2 linked regions of the Daphnia pulex genome follow. The protein of the gene in region 1 purifies or fractionates together with the protein of each later gene. This does not show direct contact. Links are inferred from orthologs where the notes say so. Each region holds a gene or a part of one and is shown on either strand. Other genes may lie near its edges. The genes, in order: unconventional myosin-Va-like and myosin-2 essential light chain-like.

Region 1 (6,885 bases):
GTTCGCGGTTTCTTAGCCAGACGACGTTATCTTCGTGCACGTAAGAGCATCGTCCTGTTGCAGTGCTGCTGGCGTCGTTGGTTGGCCCGTCGTCAATACAAAGCTCTTCGTTTGGAGGCCCGATCTATCGAGCACGTCAAAAATCTTAATAAAGGCTTGGAAAATAAGATTATATCCATGCAACAAAGAATTGAAGAGATGAACAAAGAGCTGATACCTCTTCGACAAAAGCAAAATGATTATGCCGAATTGAAGACCCAGTGTGAAGCAAACCGCGGATTAGCCAATGAGTTAAAAGTTTCTGTTGGGCGGATAGGTGAACTCGAACTCATGGTAAAACAATTGCAGACCCAACTGGATCGTGAGAGAGATGAAAAGATGGATCTCGTACAAGATCGCGAGAGGGTTGAAAAGCAAAATGAAGAGTTAAACGCTCAAATCGAAAATATTCAAAAAGAGCTCGTTGAGTCGACTGAAATCAACCAAACCCGCAGTCAGGAAGCCGAAGAATCCATCCTACGAAGACTGGACCAAGAACGAGCTATGCTGGCTCAGGAGTACGATCAAGAAAGAGCAGCCTACCAGAAGTTGCTTCAGGACTACCACGAGCTGGAGGAGCGGTTTGAAGAAGCTGAAAGAGAACTTGAACGCCTTCATGAGGAACCAGGGAAAAGCAGCAAGAGTGAAACTATTCGTGGTCATTCTCGCAACGCTTCGAACGTGAGTACGCTCAGCAATACCAGTGAATTGATCGCAAATCCTGAAGATGATGGTGGTTATGGATCTGTTCGTCATGTTCCTAATCGGTCGGACAGCGAAGATGTTGGTCTGGTCCTCAAGCTACAACAGCGGTTGAAGACTGTTGAAAAAGACAAGGCATCATTGGCGACTAGGGTTGAAGAGTTGGAGCGCGAAAGTCCGACTGCCGATGTCAGGAGAGCTCAGGACATGATACGCTTGCAAGAGCTCGAAATGGAAAACGCCAAGATCAAAGATGACCTGAAGAATCTTCGTCGTCAAGCTGCAACAGAGAATGAGGTTCAATTGCCCCGCAGTCTGGATATGCTGATGAGCCAATTCGATGCCATGTCCGACGAGCTCGATCGACGACGAGAGGAATGTATTCAGCTGCGAACCGTGTTGGCTAACACGACTCTTGGAGGCGACATTGGTGAGCAAACTACACTGAACGCATCGCGTCTAAACGGAGGAGAGCCGTTTGCTGAAGACAACGAGATTTTGATGGCTTTTGAATCTCAAAAGCGTATCATACGGCACCTAGAAAATGAATTACAGGAAGAGAAAGCCTCGTCTCAGCGGAAGATTCAAATTGAAAGAGAAGAAGTCGAACGTCTGCGATTGGATAATGAACAGCAGGCAAAGCTTCTTGCTGGGGCCTTACATCGGACGCCACAAGGACAAACCGATGCTGTCATGCAGCATGAAATTTCTCGACTCACGGCTGACAATTTGGATCTCCAGGAAAAGAATGATTTGCTATCCGAGCAACTCAAAAAGTACAGATCGCAGATGAAATTGGCGAAAAGGGTGAAGCAAGAGGGTGTACCTGCCGAAAATCAGGAAGCCAGCCCTGAAGTGCGTGAAACAGTGCATTCGAGTCGCAGGAACGAAAGAAGCGAATCATCGCTGCCGGTTGTTCGTAAAAAGGAAACGAATTACCTTGGAATGTTTGATTTTAACATGGGCGACGAAAAGCAGATCGCCAGGAATCTCGTCTACGGTGAGTCCTTTTGGTGTTGTGACGAAATAAAGTAACTTCATAATGATTTTTTTGGTTTGAATTTCTAGAATTGAAACCACGCGTTGCGTCAACTCTGTTACCCGGTCTTCCGGCATACATCATTTTTATGTGTGTCCGACACGCAGATTACATCAACAGCGACGATAAAATCAGATCTTTCTTAACTCTGATTATTAACGCTATTCGTCGACTCATTAAGAAACGATATGAGGATCTGGACACTTCAGTTGTCTGGTTAGTCAACACGTGCAGACTTTTACACAGTCTAAAGCAGTACAGTGGAGAAAAGGTATGTTTCAATTTGCAAGCGTTGCCCATCTAATTATTTAAATCATCTAATGTCATGTAATTGATTTTCACAGACCTTCCAAGAGGAAAATACTCCGAAACAAAATGAACAATGTTTGAGGAATTTTGATTTGTCAGAATACCGACAAGTTCTTAGTGATATCGCTGTTTGGATTTATCAGGTGATTTTTTCTTAATCGTGAAACTAATTGAACTGATGAAATAATTGCAATTACTCTTAGGCGGTAATCAAATTTATGGAAGAGCGTGTTCAGCAGCTTATTGTCACTGCAGTGTTGGAACATGAAGCCATCTCTGGACTTTCTAGTCATAAGCAACCAGTAGGACAGAGCGGCCGAGCGAGGTAATTGATGATTTTTATCAGCCAAAAGTTTCCAATATTTACTATCTGGCAATTACAGATCGGGGTCAACGAGGGATACCACAAGTCCTGTTGATCCACAAGAAGCGATCGCACATTTGTTGCGCGAGTTAACCATTTTCCACCAAGTGTTGCAGTTATATGGCGTAGATCCGACGCTTATCGCCCAAGCTTTCCGCCAGGTATTTGCCTTCGTGCATTTATGTAGGTTACATACCATTCTTAATTCAATACTTAAATTTTATCTTTATTTTCAGGTGTTCTATTACATTTGTGCCTGTGCATTGAACAACCTCCTACTGCGTAAAGAAATGTGTCACTGGTCGAAAGGCATTCAGATTCGGTACAATATTTCCCATCTGGAACAATGGGTGCGTGACCAGCACATTCATGGACAGGACAGTATGAGTGCTACTATCGTAGATACCCTGCAGCCTATTATCCAAGCCGCACAGTTGTTACAAGCCAGAAAATCCGACGACGACGTCAGTAACATTTGCACGATGTGTTCCCGGTTAACCAGCGCTCAGATCATCAAAATTCTGAATCTGTACACGCCAGCCGATGAATTGGAAGATCGAATTCCGATTTCTTTTATCCGCAAAGTGCAGGAAGAGCTGCAAAAACGAACCGACCACCAATCACAGAGCAAATTGCTAATGGATACCAAACACGCATTTACGGTGCGCTTTCCATACAGCCCATCTTCTATCAAACTAGAAGACATAGACATTCCTGCCGTTTTAAATCTACCAATGCTGAAGAAGGTTTAAGATCATTTATCCCATGCAGATGTGCGTTATATTCTTATCGAAGCATTCCGTTGGTGTGTGTTAAGTATTGAGGAACGAAATGTGTTTGGCTGCAAACGTCTCGAAGCTAACTGCGGCCATTTGTTCTATTTCAAATAAGAAGAAATGCGTTATCATTGATACTAAGTACAAGAACAAACTGCAATGTTGCTTAAGAGAAGAACAATGATCTGCCAAAGATTTCTGTTAGTGACCTGCTTTGGACTCACGATCTCTGCGAAAACAGAGACCAATATATTTATACTTACAAACGTAATTTTCTATGCTTGTAGGATATGCCTGCAGCTATGGCCCAAGGTCGATCTATTGTTCGTTTGTTTTTTTTTTATTTTTTTTTTCATTTCTTATGTTCATTATTAAAAAAGTCCAAAGATGCTGTTCCGTTTCCGTAGTTCATGCACTATTTCCGTTCTGTTAGGCAGTTTGCGGGAATCCCCGTTTTCAAAATCATTCAGCCGTTTCATTGTTGTGTTGATTTATTTAATCGAATACAGATTTGTGATTGCGATAATTTATATTATTTAATTTATTTTTGTTTTCACTCAAATTTTTACGTTACATCACGTAACATTTTCTTAATAAGACGAAGGCTACATGAGAAATTTGCCTGCTAATGATTTGTAGCAATTAAAGGTGTGAGCTAGCTCTTGCTTCATGTTTTCAATCTCCCTAATGGCACTAGTAAAGATATAAGGGAAAATAATTCCTTTTTCATTCTCTTCAATCTTCATTCCTGCGCGCAAAAGACCTTGAATTTTTCCGTGACGCCATAACTAATTACTGTTAGTCATCAACTTCTCTCTGTAATCTAATTTGCCATTCTCGTATTCTATTCTCGAATTTCTTGTTGGTGGATCAATTTCCGCTGCTTGAGAGTTGGATCATGTTATCTGCATTAAATCGAGTAAAATGAAAATAAAACAATTTATGCGCAAGATACTTAAAAAAATCACGAATTACAGAGGCTTTTTGTGGCTTTGATTATTCTTATATTTCACGAAGAGGATGGAGATTAATTCATGGACCAAGAGACTGTTGGTCTAGGGGATTTTTGGAAGTAACGCAGGTGTAATGAGAATTCCATAGACAAACAGGTCTCATCATAGTTGAAAATTGTAATTTGTAATGCCCGGTTTTTTGAACCAGTAGTAGCTCAACGACTTCGCCATCTAGAAGGGTAGGGATTCGAGGAAAATATGTGCGCCCACCCTAGATGGCGAAGTCGTCGAGGTAGGCCTACCACTGGTTCAATTTTAAAAACAGGGAATATACATATCCATTGTAATGTGCGCATCACCGAGTTGATTGTCATTATCATAAGTATAATTTGCATACTACCCTTGCATATCTGTTTGCAATTGGAAGTGCAATTGGAAGTAGCATTGCAACTTGCGTCACCTGTACACGCCTGCACATTTTCCGTGAAATGTGTCACCAACGGCTTTCCATACAATAGGAGGTTCCGCTGTTACATTAGCTTATCTTATTTATTCATGTTGTTAATGACGTAAGAGGTACATTATGAATTGCGAGATGTGTGTGTCATCCACTTTCAGCCATCATCTATTTGTTAAATAGCTGACGCATTCTGCTTTGCAAAACTAAATTGAATTGAATCAAAGAAGATGATTTTCTCCCATTGATGGAACAGGAGGGTACGCTAACAAGATCTTATAGTCCGCGTATAAAGCTAATATCAGAATAAGAGTCTAAATGATTTCGTCGAATGAGAGCCAGAGACCAATTGACATGGATTTGCGCTTTCGTTGACAGTCTCAGGCTTTCAGGATAGAAAAAATAAAAAATCCCCAAATCCCTGGTGATTTGACCGAATAGCCTATCTGGATCATCCAGTCAGCCGAAAGCAAAGCGAAGAAACTTTTTCTTTTATGCAAAAAGAAAACGCACAACTCCCTTCACGCTTACGTAATACTTTTGTCAGTTACCTCCGTCCAATCGTATGATTTCAATAAATTTTGCAATGAAAAAATCAAGGAAAAAATAGATTTGAATTAACAAAGAATCCTTAGACAGCAGTCCAGGACCCAAAAGGATTTAAGTTTTTATTTTTATTGCGCATTGAGTGCCATTTAAGTTTGCCGGATGTGTCAAATAATGCTCCTCATCAACTATCTTTCCACTATATCGTTCAATGACGTGTTACGTTCAATCAAGTTTCTCCGCATCGAAAAAAGGGAATAAGCACACATGTTGCACTCGACATCGATCTCAATAGGTCACAGTGACTGGCGCACAGACTATTTTTCTTTTTCGTGGTAGTACACAGAGTAAAGATGCCCTAACTCTTCTGCTTTTAGATTCCAAAGTATAGATCTCAGCGCGAAAGTGCGAGAAGGTGGAATATTTTTGACACGCCTAGAGGCTTCAAGTTTAATTGGATTTTCCATCCATCCCATTGACAATAGTCATCGACTCGCCCAGATTGGTGGAGCCATATAGCGAGCACTTATGGCTAATTGGCTTCCATTTCAGCCAAACTAAATTGAATTTCTTTTACTACAACTGCTGCTGCTGCTGCTGTACACTCTTGTCGCGTCGTTTCTGAAATAAAATGCTATCGCCATCAGATTTCGGAAGCTATTTCCATCTATACGTCACAATGTCGTTTCTGCATGTGAGCTCTTCTCATCGCGAAAAGATTGAATGGCACCAGACAATATCGGAACAAAAAGGTGAGCAGCATGTATGTATATAAATAGTGTAGACCAACAGCGTCAAACTATATATATCTAGAGGAACAGAAATCTGAAGATGTCGTTCATGCATATTCCTTCCGCTGGTTAATCACAGCGGAATAAGGATTCGCGCAGTTTGAAAAAAGTATACAGTGTACGAAAGGTATGATGAGGCAAGAAAACTTCCCTCCAAGTCTGAACTTGAGCATTACATATGGGCCACTGGTCTGGGACCAAACTGCTCCGGTATCTTAATCATAATTCGTTACTACACAGCGTTAAAACTTTCGTTTTAAAATCTTGAGGATTTAATCAGGATCAACGAAAATTAATTTGAAACTTAAAATATTTTTTATCCGGTGCGGGGGAATGCGCGGTATAGTGTCAACATTGATGTATCATCATGTGTCACTTAATTAGGTCATCGAACGTTCCCGCCCAACCCAAAGCTTTTAAATATCCTGCCTATTATTGAACATTCGATTAACCCAGTGTCCGCAGTGTTCACCTTTTCCTCATTCAATATGAACGTCACGAGCCCGCTATAGGCACTTCCGTTCACAGCGCTAATCAACAAGGACAAACGATGTTCTGAAAAATGCAGGTAAAAACGATTATAATCCGCCCACCGGCCACGGACTGACCTCAGTAACTTTATCCCTTCCCCCTCTATATCCATATTTGATTTCCTCTTTGCAGGCCTCTGTGTATACGCAGCTTTAATATATACACAGTATACTATACGCTACAGATACAGAGCCGATATGTAGCTATCAGAATGTATTAGCTATTAGTCATATATCTAGTGGTCTAGAACAGCATATATTGGTGCATATGCAGGCATTGAAAAATCAGAGCGCAAGCGCATCCCAACCATCGGTACCTACTCGTAAAACATAAATTGACCATGTACGTAGAATAACTTCTGACGTACATATTTCAAGT
Region 2 (7,462 bases), on another chromosome or scaffold:
TTTAAAAATTAATTTTCGAATACAACTAGTCATTTCAATAACTAACATAAGATAGAATTCATTCACGACTCGAATTAAAATTGATTATTTACCCATGATTGCGAACTGATAATGAGATGAAGAAGTCATCTGGTGCGCTGCAGTTGTTGCCGTGTCGTAGACGTTCACTCGACTGATCACTGTGGCCTTTTCTCTCTCCTTTTATACGACTTTTTCTCACCCTTACCTCTCAACTCAAGGCTTGCGGCAATTGTAGACCTACTTGATAATGTTGCAACACGTGTCGTTCTCACCCAACCTCTACACCACTGCAAGAAAGTTTTACCAATTCTATGTAATGATCTCCGTGACCTTCGGTTGAATGACATACAAACTGGCCTTTCCTCCCGCAGGTTGACGTAGCTGGGGATGGGTTTACAAAAAACATTATCAAAATGAATACCAAATGGTTATGTAAAACTTGCCTTTCTTACCCAACCTCTACACCACAACATTGACAGTTTTACGTAATGATCTCAGTGACCTTCGAAAGTGAAGGACATGCAAACTGGCCTCTTCCTTCTGCTTCTGTAGGTTGACGTTGCCGGGGATGGGTCTACAAAAAACAATATCAAATTAATACCAAATGACTTAAAACTCACTTTATCCAAATTTACATTTAAGTAAATTGACTCGTTTCTTCGGTGAATGAATAAATCTTCCATTTCGAACCACTTTTTTTTCTTCCATATTGTTTGAAGGACACTCGACTTTTTTGAAGATGTTCCACTGCTAACTTATCTAAAAAGTTTCAAACACATGATCAATCCATATTCATTTCATAATGTGCACACGGTTGACCCTTGTTAGAAACCTCTTTTCTTAGTCAATAAGTTCTCAACAAAAACAACAGTAACAAACCAATAATCTACATTCACAACTTAAAAGAATATAAGGAAGAATTACCATTTTTTTTACAAAAATGTCAGGAAAAAAGTACACCGTAGAGGCGTAGAGAAATTTACTTGCATTTACGATCAGCGTCTCCAAATTAAATGGCGAATAATACAATTCTTATTTGTTCATCGCACACCATCTATGGGAATGTAGCAAGAAATTTTAAATTGAGAAAGTGGTCACTAGATGGACATGAAATGTTTACATTTTACAAGGATGGCGACTCTAGCTACAGCCACACGCGTCTCGACAACTCGTTTTTTGTTTTATCGTTGTTTTTCTACAGAGGTAAAGCACTATTTTTTGAAATTTCCCACTTTGTGTTATAAGCCTTATAATTTATAGGTTCCAGAGGCTGTTTCTAAAGCCATTGCCACAACAGATGTCTACGGCCCTCCAGACCCAAAGTCAAGTCTTCGCCTAATCACCTTCTATATCGCCCCTGATGAAACTGAAGCTGAGAAAGAGTACAGACTTAGACGGGCTCAGGTACAGGAATGGAACCACTTATTTTGGACTATCCATAATGTTCAATTTACCCAGGTGATTAATTGTCTAATTACTATAAATTTGAATTTACTTTTGATAACGCTGCATCCATGAGCAGGCCAAAGAAGAATTTGTGACATCAGTGTTAGAGAGAAGAGGTAAAGATGCCACCACAACAGGGCAACCCCTAACTGCTGATGATTTATCTGAATTCTACAGGGCATTCCTAGATCAAAATAGGGAAAAGCACTTGAAGTATAATGTAGAATGGCACATGAAAAACATGGGTCTTCTATGGCCTGGAATTAAGGCAAATTTAAGTAGATTTAAAAAGGGTTTTTCTACTATGTAAAGTTATGTAACATAGGTCCCAGTACAGACTTATTTAATACATTGTGTTAAGATTGTAATTGTCATTATTAGTTGTCACTTCTTTTCAGCTTCATTTAGAAGCTCAGTATTGCCAACAAGCAGAAAAGTAGGGAAGTGGCAATTAGAAAAACAGAGACTTGCAGCAAAGTACAGAGAGAAGGGCCAGAAAGCATACAAAATTATACTTGAACTCTTATGTATTTCATCCCCATTGTTGGTCATCACATCTATGACTGCAGATAACCACTAAAATAAAATAATAAAAACATTTAAATTGGTGTCATGGAGTTGAAGAAACGAATAACTTACGGCAGTTTCATTCTCATGAAAATCCATGTGGTCAGGAATGAAATAACAATGCAGATAAATCCAAGAAAGATGAGAAGCAGTCTGTTGAACTTAGGCATGGTAGTAGATTGGGTTTGGTCAAGTATTACATAGCCTAATCCACCAAGGGTAAACATGAAACTGGATGCAAGACCTTCTAAAATGTATTGGCCATTGACTCTGTATGGCATGAAGGCAACCTATTCAAATTAATAAACCATCAAGCATTTAGAAACACATAGTGGGAGTCTTTGATATGGTAAAACTCACTGGACGAGAATGTCCTCGCTCATCAGTTGTTGACCCAATTGAAGGTGGCTCCACAATAACATCATAGATTATACCTGATTAGATCAAAATAATATTAAACAATCATGATTTTATATTTGTCAATAACAGCAATATTCTATACACACCTCCTGTAACCATGAAATATGACAACAGAACGATAGAGAACACGGTCATTGCTGAGGGCTGGTGAAACCATGTCGGTTTTTTTATTTTCAAATTGGGTACTTCCAACACGGAAAAAGGAATGCTGTATAAAACTTCCATTGTGCCTTTATAGAATAATATTTTTCTCAATTAAGCATCCGTCCAAAATAAACCGGCTCAAACGTCAACTGACTGCACGCCACGTAGTGACAGCTGAGAGGTAGCTACGCTTTGCAGAGATGCCGATAACACAGAATATGATCATTAAAAAAAAACAACTCAATAATGAAAAAATATAGATTTGATCAATAACAAAATACTATTATCGCTCGACAAAGCCAATTTTAAAAATAAAACTGAAAGAAAATGATGGCTTCATTGTTAACATTTTGGAGAGAAGAGAAGAGAGATAGGATTGGTCGAACAAAAATGTTTTCAAGCGGCGAACCACCAAAGCTTGGAACTACGTTTAATGAAAATTGTGGTAACAAAATAAATCAATATTTTGGAGGCAAAATCAACTAAAACAATTCTCAATTTTTTAAATATTCGCGTATTTATGGACCTTGAATTATCTTATTTCAACCATTTCAATAACAGACTCCTATTGTTATCTCGCCAAAAGGTGGCGCGTATTTTTAGCGTTGCTAGTCTACATTTTATATCTATGGTACGGACCATTTGACGTCAGTTTCCAAAAAAATTTCAACACAGACTGCTTGTGCATTCGTTTGGGTGTGTTTCTGTTCTGTAGTTCACGTTTCGAAAAAAATGGTAATTGATTTTCTAATGACAGTTAAACGGTTACAATTGGTTGAAATAAATAATCTAACTATTTCTTATTCTTCTGCTTCTATTTAAAGGCCGGATACAGTGAAGATCAACTTGCTGGTAAGAAAACTTTTAAAGATGCAATTTTCATACCTTATATGGTAATGAAAGTTGGTGCAGACCTTTGACATAATCGGCCTAGATTTCCCTTGCCGTTCCCTTTCTGATGCATTAATTGAATATTTCTCTTGTAGACTTTCAGGAAGCATTTCAACTTTTTGATCAAAAAGGAGATGGTTGTGTTCAGGTGTCTCAGATTGGTGACATTTTGCGTGCCTTGGGACAGAACCCCACAGAATCTGATGTGAAGAAGTTGACCCACAATCACCGACCAGGTAATTACATTGAAAGAGATCTTCCGGTTCAATCAGTTCATGTTCTTTTGTAATTCTTTAGAGGCTCGTGTCAACTTTGAGGTGTTTTTGCCAATCCTCCAAGCCATTTCCAAAAACCGTTCAGCCGATACAGCTGAAGATTTCATTGAAGGACTGAGGCATTTTGACAAAGATGGCAATGGTTACATTTCATCTGCAGAACTCAGACATCTCCTCACAACCTTGGGTAACGCCTAATGACTTGCATTCAACATTGGGTGTGTCATTTATAATAAACAAACAATTATTTTGAATTTAGGTGAGAAGTTGGCTGATGAAGAAGTTGGAGAACTATTGAATGGCCATGAAGACTCCCAGGGCAACGTGAATTATGAAGAATTTGTTCGTGCCGTCATGAGCGGTTAGATCGGGGGATTATACGACTTATTTTATACTTTCATATTACCCCAGTTCTCGATTTAATAAATTCATTAAATTCCTCGTAAAAAAAAACAAAAAAACATCTCTAATTAGTACTTATGTTCTGATCCAATAACAAAGCCCTAAAACATCTTTCCTACCCCCACATCTATATTCTTATCTCTCTGGTGTGTATTGCAGTGCCTTTTTCATCATAATATTACCGCACATTCCACAATACACTTTGGCGCTTCCTCAACTACCTATCGGATCTATTACATTTGGCAACATCATGTGGAGCAAACATCCTGTGTACACGCAATTCATTAGTAACGAGATATTCATCGCAAAGTTCACTGGCCGTTTCTTTTTTAAAAGATAAAACAAAAAGGGACGCTGCCCCACTTGACGAATTTTCTTAGTTGGTAACATCAGCCGCCAGATGGCAGTCATTTAATCGTGAAAAAAGAAAAACGGCCGATTGTTGGTAGTATTATTAATGTCTAGGAATATTCATTTCATCATGCGATCAATTGAGTGCGATGACGCAACTCGGGGCGGAAGGAAGGAAGCGAAACGGTAGCGGGTACGACTTCAGTCGGACGTGCCAAGTCGAAATTAGACGTTTCCTACGGGTGGAAGAGTTCCAAGAGGCCAGCGAAAGGAAAAAGAATGATGGGACATTTCAAACACTCGAGGGTCAAATATAGAAAACAACCTCAAGTGGCGAAATAGAAATAGCCGCGCGCACAAACTTTTTTGGCTTCTAGACTTTGTGTGTTCTTTTAATAACGAAAAAAAGAAGACACTCTTATGGCAACAACAACAAAACAAAAGAGATAGAGAGGATTGATGGCAGATCAACAATGCTTGACGATGACTCGCAACAAATTATAAACACGAGGCGCAAACAAAAACAACCATCCAGTCTATTCGGCATTCGCTTCCGCACGTGTTTTTGGGTGGTGCCCGGATCGGTGCGCATTCCCCACGTTGGCGTTTCGAGGTCGCCACTAATAATCGACATGCCACGCGCATTCATTCCTTGGACGTCGTAACAGCTGCCAACTCGAGTATCCAATTAGCTGTTGAATTAGTTCACTTGCGCTCGGCAATCAATCAAATATTCGCAAATCGACTTTTCGTTTGACTTAAAAATCAACTTTTCAACAGCAGAGCCGCGAAATGTTTTGAGAATCGATTTCTTACAATCGATCGACATCTACAAGTTTTCATTTTATTTTTATTATTTCGTTCCAGATGATCCCGACGGCGCCATTTCGGATTAGAATTGGAAAGGAGCCGAGAGTCTTTTTTTTATCACCGACACAATTAAGTAGGGGCCTAGCTACTTAGCGACGGGATTACTCGTCGATGTGCACGACGTAACACATGTTCAAATGCGCAGTAGATTGCAATCCGTTTCAACTGTTGTTGAATGACTTTTGTTTGTGTGTATCGGGAACGGACAAACAAAAAGGAGAGACCCCCCCTAATTCATTATCAAGGTTAGAACACAAGATATCAGCTGCTGGAAGAGATTATTAGTGTAGCTATAAAATCGTCTCGTTTCTAATCTTTGCGGCCGGGAGATTTGGTAACGATGACGTTCGATTTCGTTCTGATATGAAAGTTCACGTTGTACCCGCTATTCTTACACGTCAAGTCATAAAGGTCCACAAGTTTCTGAATCAATTCTTAATACAATTGTTGACTCATTCCAGACTGTACGCGCTCAACATTTTCGCTTAAAAAACGTTCAGGTACGAATTTAATTTCCATTGAAAAATATTTCAATCGAAAATTTCAAATTTCTTAATCTAATTTTAGAACTAAAAGAGAAAATTGAAAAATGAAACTGACCGTTTGTTGCGTCCTCGTCGCTTTCATGTCGGTCATGTTGGTCTCGGTGCAAGCCAATTCCATCGCAGTCCGAAGCATCGGTAAATTTCATTAAACGATTCAAATTTCCATCGCTTAAAATGAAATTTTTTTTTATTCTTAGAGGGCCGTGCGGAAGTGGTTACGGTGGCGACGACAACGACAACTCGTGACTGGGGCCAAGTCTGCGCTGATTTGTGCAAGACGGGCGACGGAGGAGTATTGTGTAATTGCGAATTAGTTCCGGTCCGACGTCGCTGAATCAAAGAGAAAAATCACATGTTATCTTGAAACGAATTACACCAAATTTTGTATCCAGCCAATAAACTCCCTTGTTTATAAAACATCTATTGCTTGGTTTTAGTTTGAATTGATCTTTCCCGATCGATTAAATATCTCGCAGTATCCTTCCCGCCCTCCTCTTATACGTGGAGAAATTATTAACAGACGCAATACATCAATTACAGCAACAGCAATAACATCTTGACGTTCGTAGTCGTCTCGAGAAAGATGAAGAAAAATTATTCGAATTAAACAGTCGAGAATATTCTACGAAACAACAACTGAACGAAGGGGGAAAATAACAAAAGAATTTGAACGACAGGTTCCAAATGGAAGAGAAATATCATCAACAATTTGAACAAGCAGGGACCCATGTACCATAACGTGAATATTAATTAGTTTAGTGCCTGGAATTTGGACCCTGAAATCTCTCGCCATATGTAACGCGGGAGGGGTGACGCTGGTGATCTCTGCTGCGCAATTCCATAAGTCTTAAATGCAAGTAGCGAAGGTTTTAGATACGATATCGTGATATTGTAAACGGTTGAGTTGCTGCTGTTCCTGAGCGATGACGCCCAGCTGTTTCACGCATGTTAGCTCCTTCTCTCTCACGGGTATAGATAGACCCTCCCTCCCATCGGCCCAGTCATAAAAATTGTACAGCATCCACAATACAACACCCCCGCACATGTGCGACGTTTCCAACATGCCGGAATAAAAATCTATGCCCGAGATTTATCAATATTCAATCGATCGACATTTAATCACGGAGAAATCTAAACTATACTAACCCGTCTGTTATTATTGGATCCCACGTGGGAGGAATGAAACGACCGTCGGTGATGAATCAAAGTTGTCTGAAATACAAAATTGGGTTTATTGGGGTTGCCAATAAATTTCTTCGATCCAGGATTCATTTTCGACTCAGTTTCTTGTTTGTTTGTTACGAGGTTGGAAAAGAGGATTGGTCGATTGCAGACGTCGTCATCATCTCACGGCCTTTCTTGGGTGGGGGTAGAGGAGGATCTCGATGGCGTGACTGGTTGGAATCCACTCACAAACTCCTCCCATTTCAAACATCTTGAGGGAAGGATTTTGCGGCACAAGCGCAGAGGCAGCCGACGGCATCCAGCAGCATCTGTCAGCATCTAGCACGGAGGAGGAGGAGGATGGAC

Evidence for each region.
Region 2: the proteins of unconventional myosin-Va-like (region 1) and myosin-2 essential light chain-like purify together in Drosophila melanogaster (affinity purification with mass spectrometry; 3 studies listed by BioGRID, with this or other methods). This does not show direct contact. The link is inferred for Daphnia pulex from reciprocal best matches to the Drosophila melanogaster genes didum and Mlc-c.

What each region holds. Positions count from the first base shown.
Region 1 is NC_060024.1:9,027,995-9,034,879, forward strand, and holds the end of unconventional myosin-Va-like, read left to right. Parts: coding exon 1-1,741; intron 1,742-1,809; coding exon 1,810-2,051; intron 2,052-2,124; coding exon 2,125-2,232; intron 2,233-2,292; coding exon 2,293-2,414; intron 2,415-2,472; coding exon 2,473-2,614; intron 2,615-2,689; coding exon 2,690-3,205; 3' UTR 3,206-3,755; downstream 3,756-6,885.
Region 2 is NC_060023.1:11,863,044-11,870,505, forward strand, and holds myosin-2 essential light chain-like, read left to right. Parts: upstream 1-3,199; 5' UTR 3,200-3,330; coding exon 3,331-3,333; intron 3,334-3,422; coding exon 3,423-3,450; intron 3,451-3,584; coding exon 3,585-3,725; intron 3,726-3,786; coding exon 3,787-3,951; intron 3,952-4,023; coding exon 4,024-4,130; 3' UTR 4,131-4,386; downstream 4,387-7,462. Other genes in the region: COA8 family protein Y39B6A.34, mitochondrial-like, read left to right, coding at 1,123-1,224, 1,282-1,479, 1,544-1,777; oligosaccharyltransferase complex subunit ostc-B-like, read right to left, coding at 2,025-2,043, 2,107-2,324, 2,395-2,468, 2,541-2,679.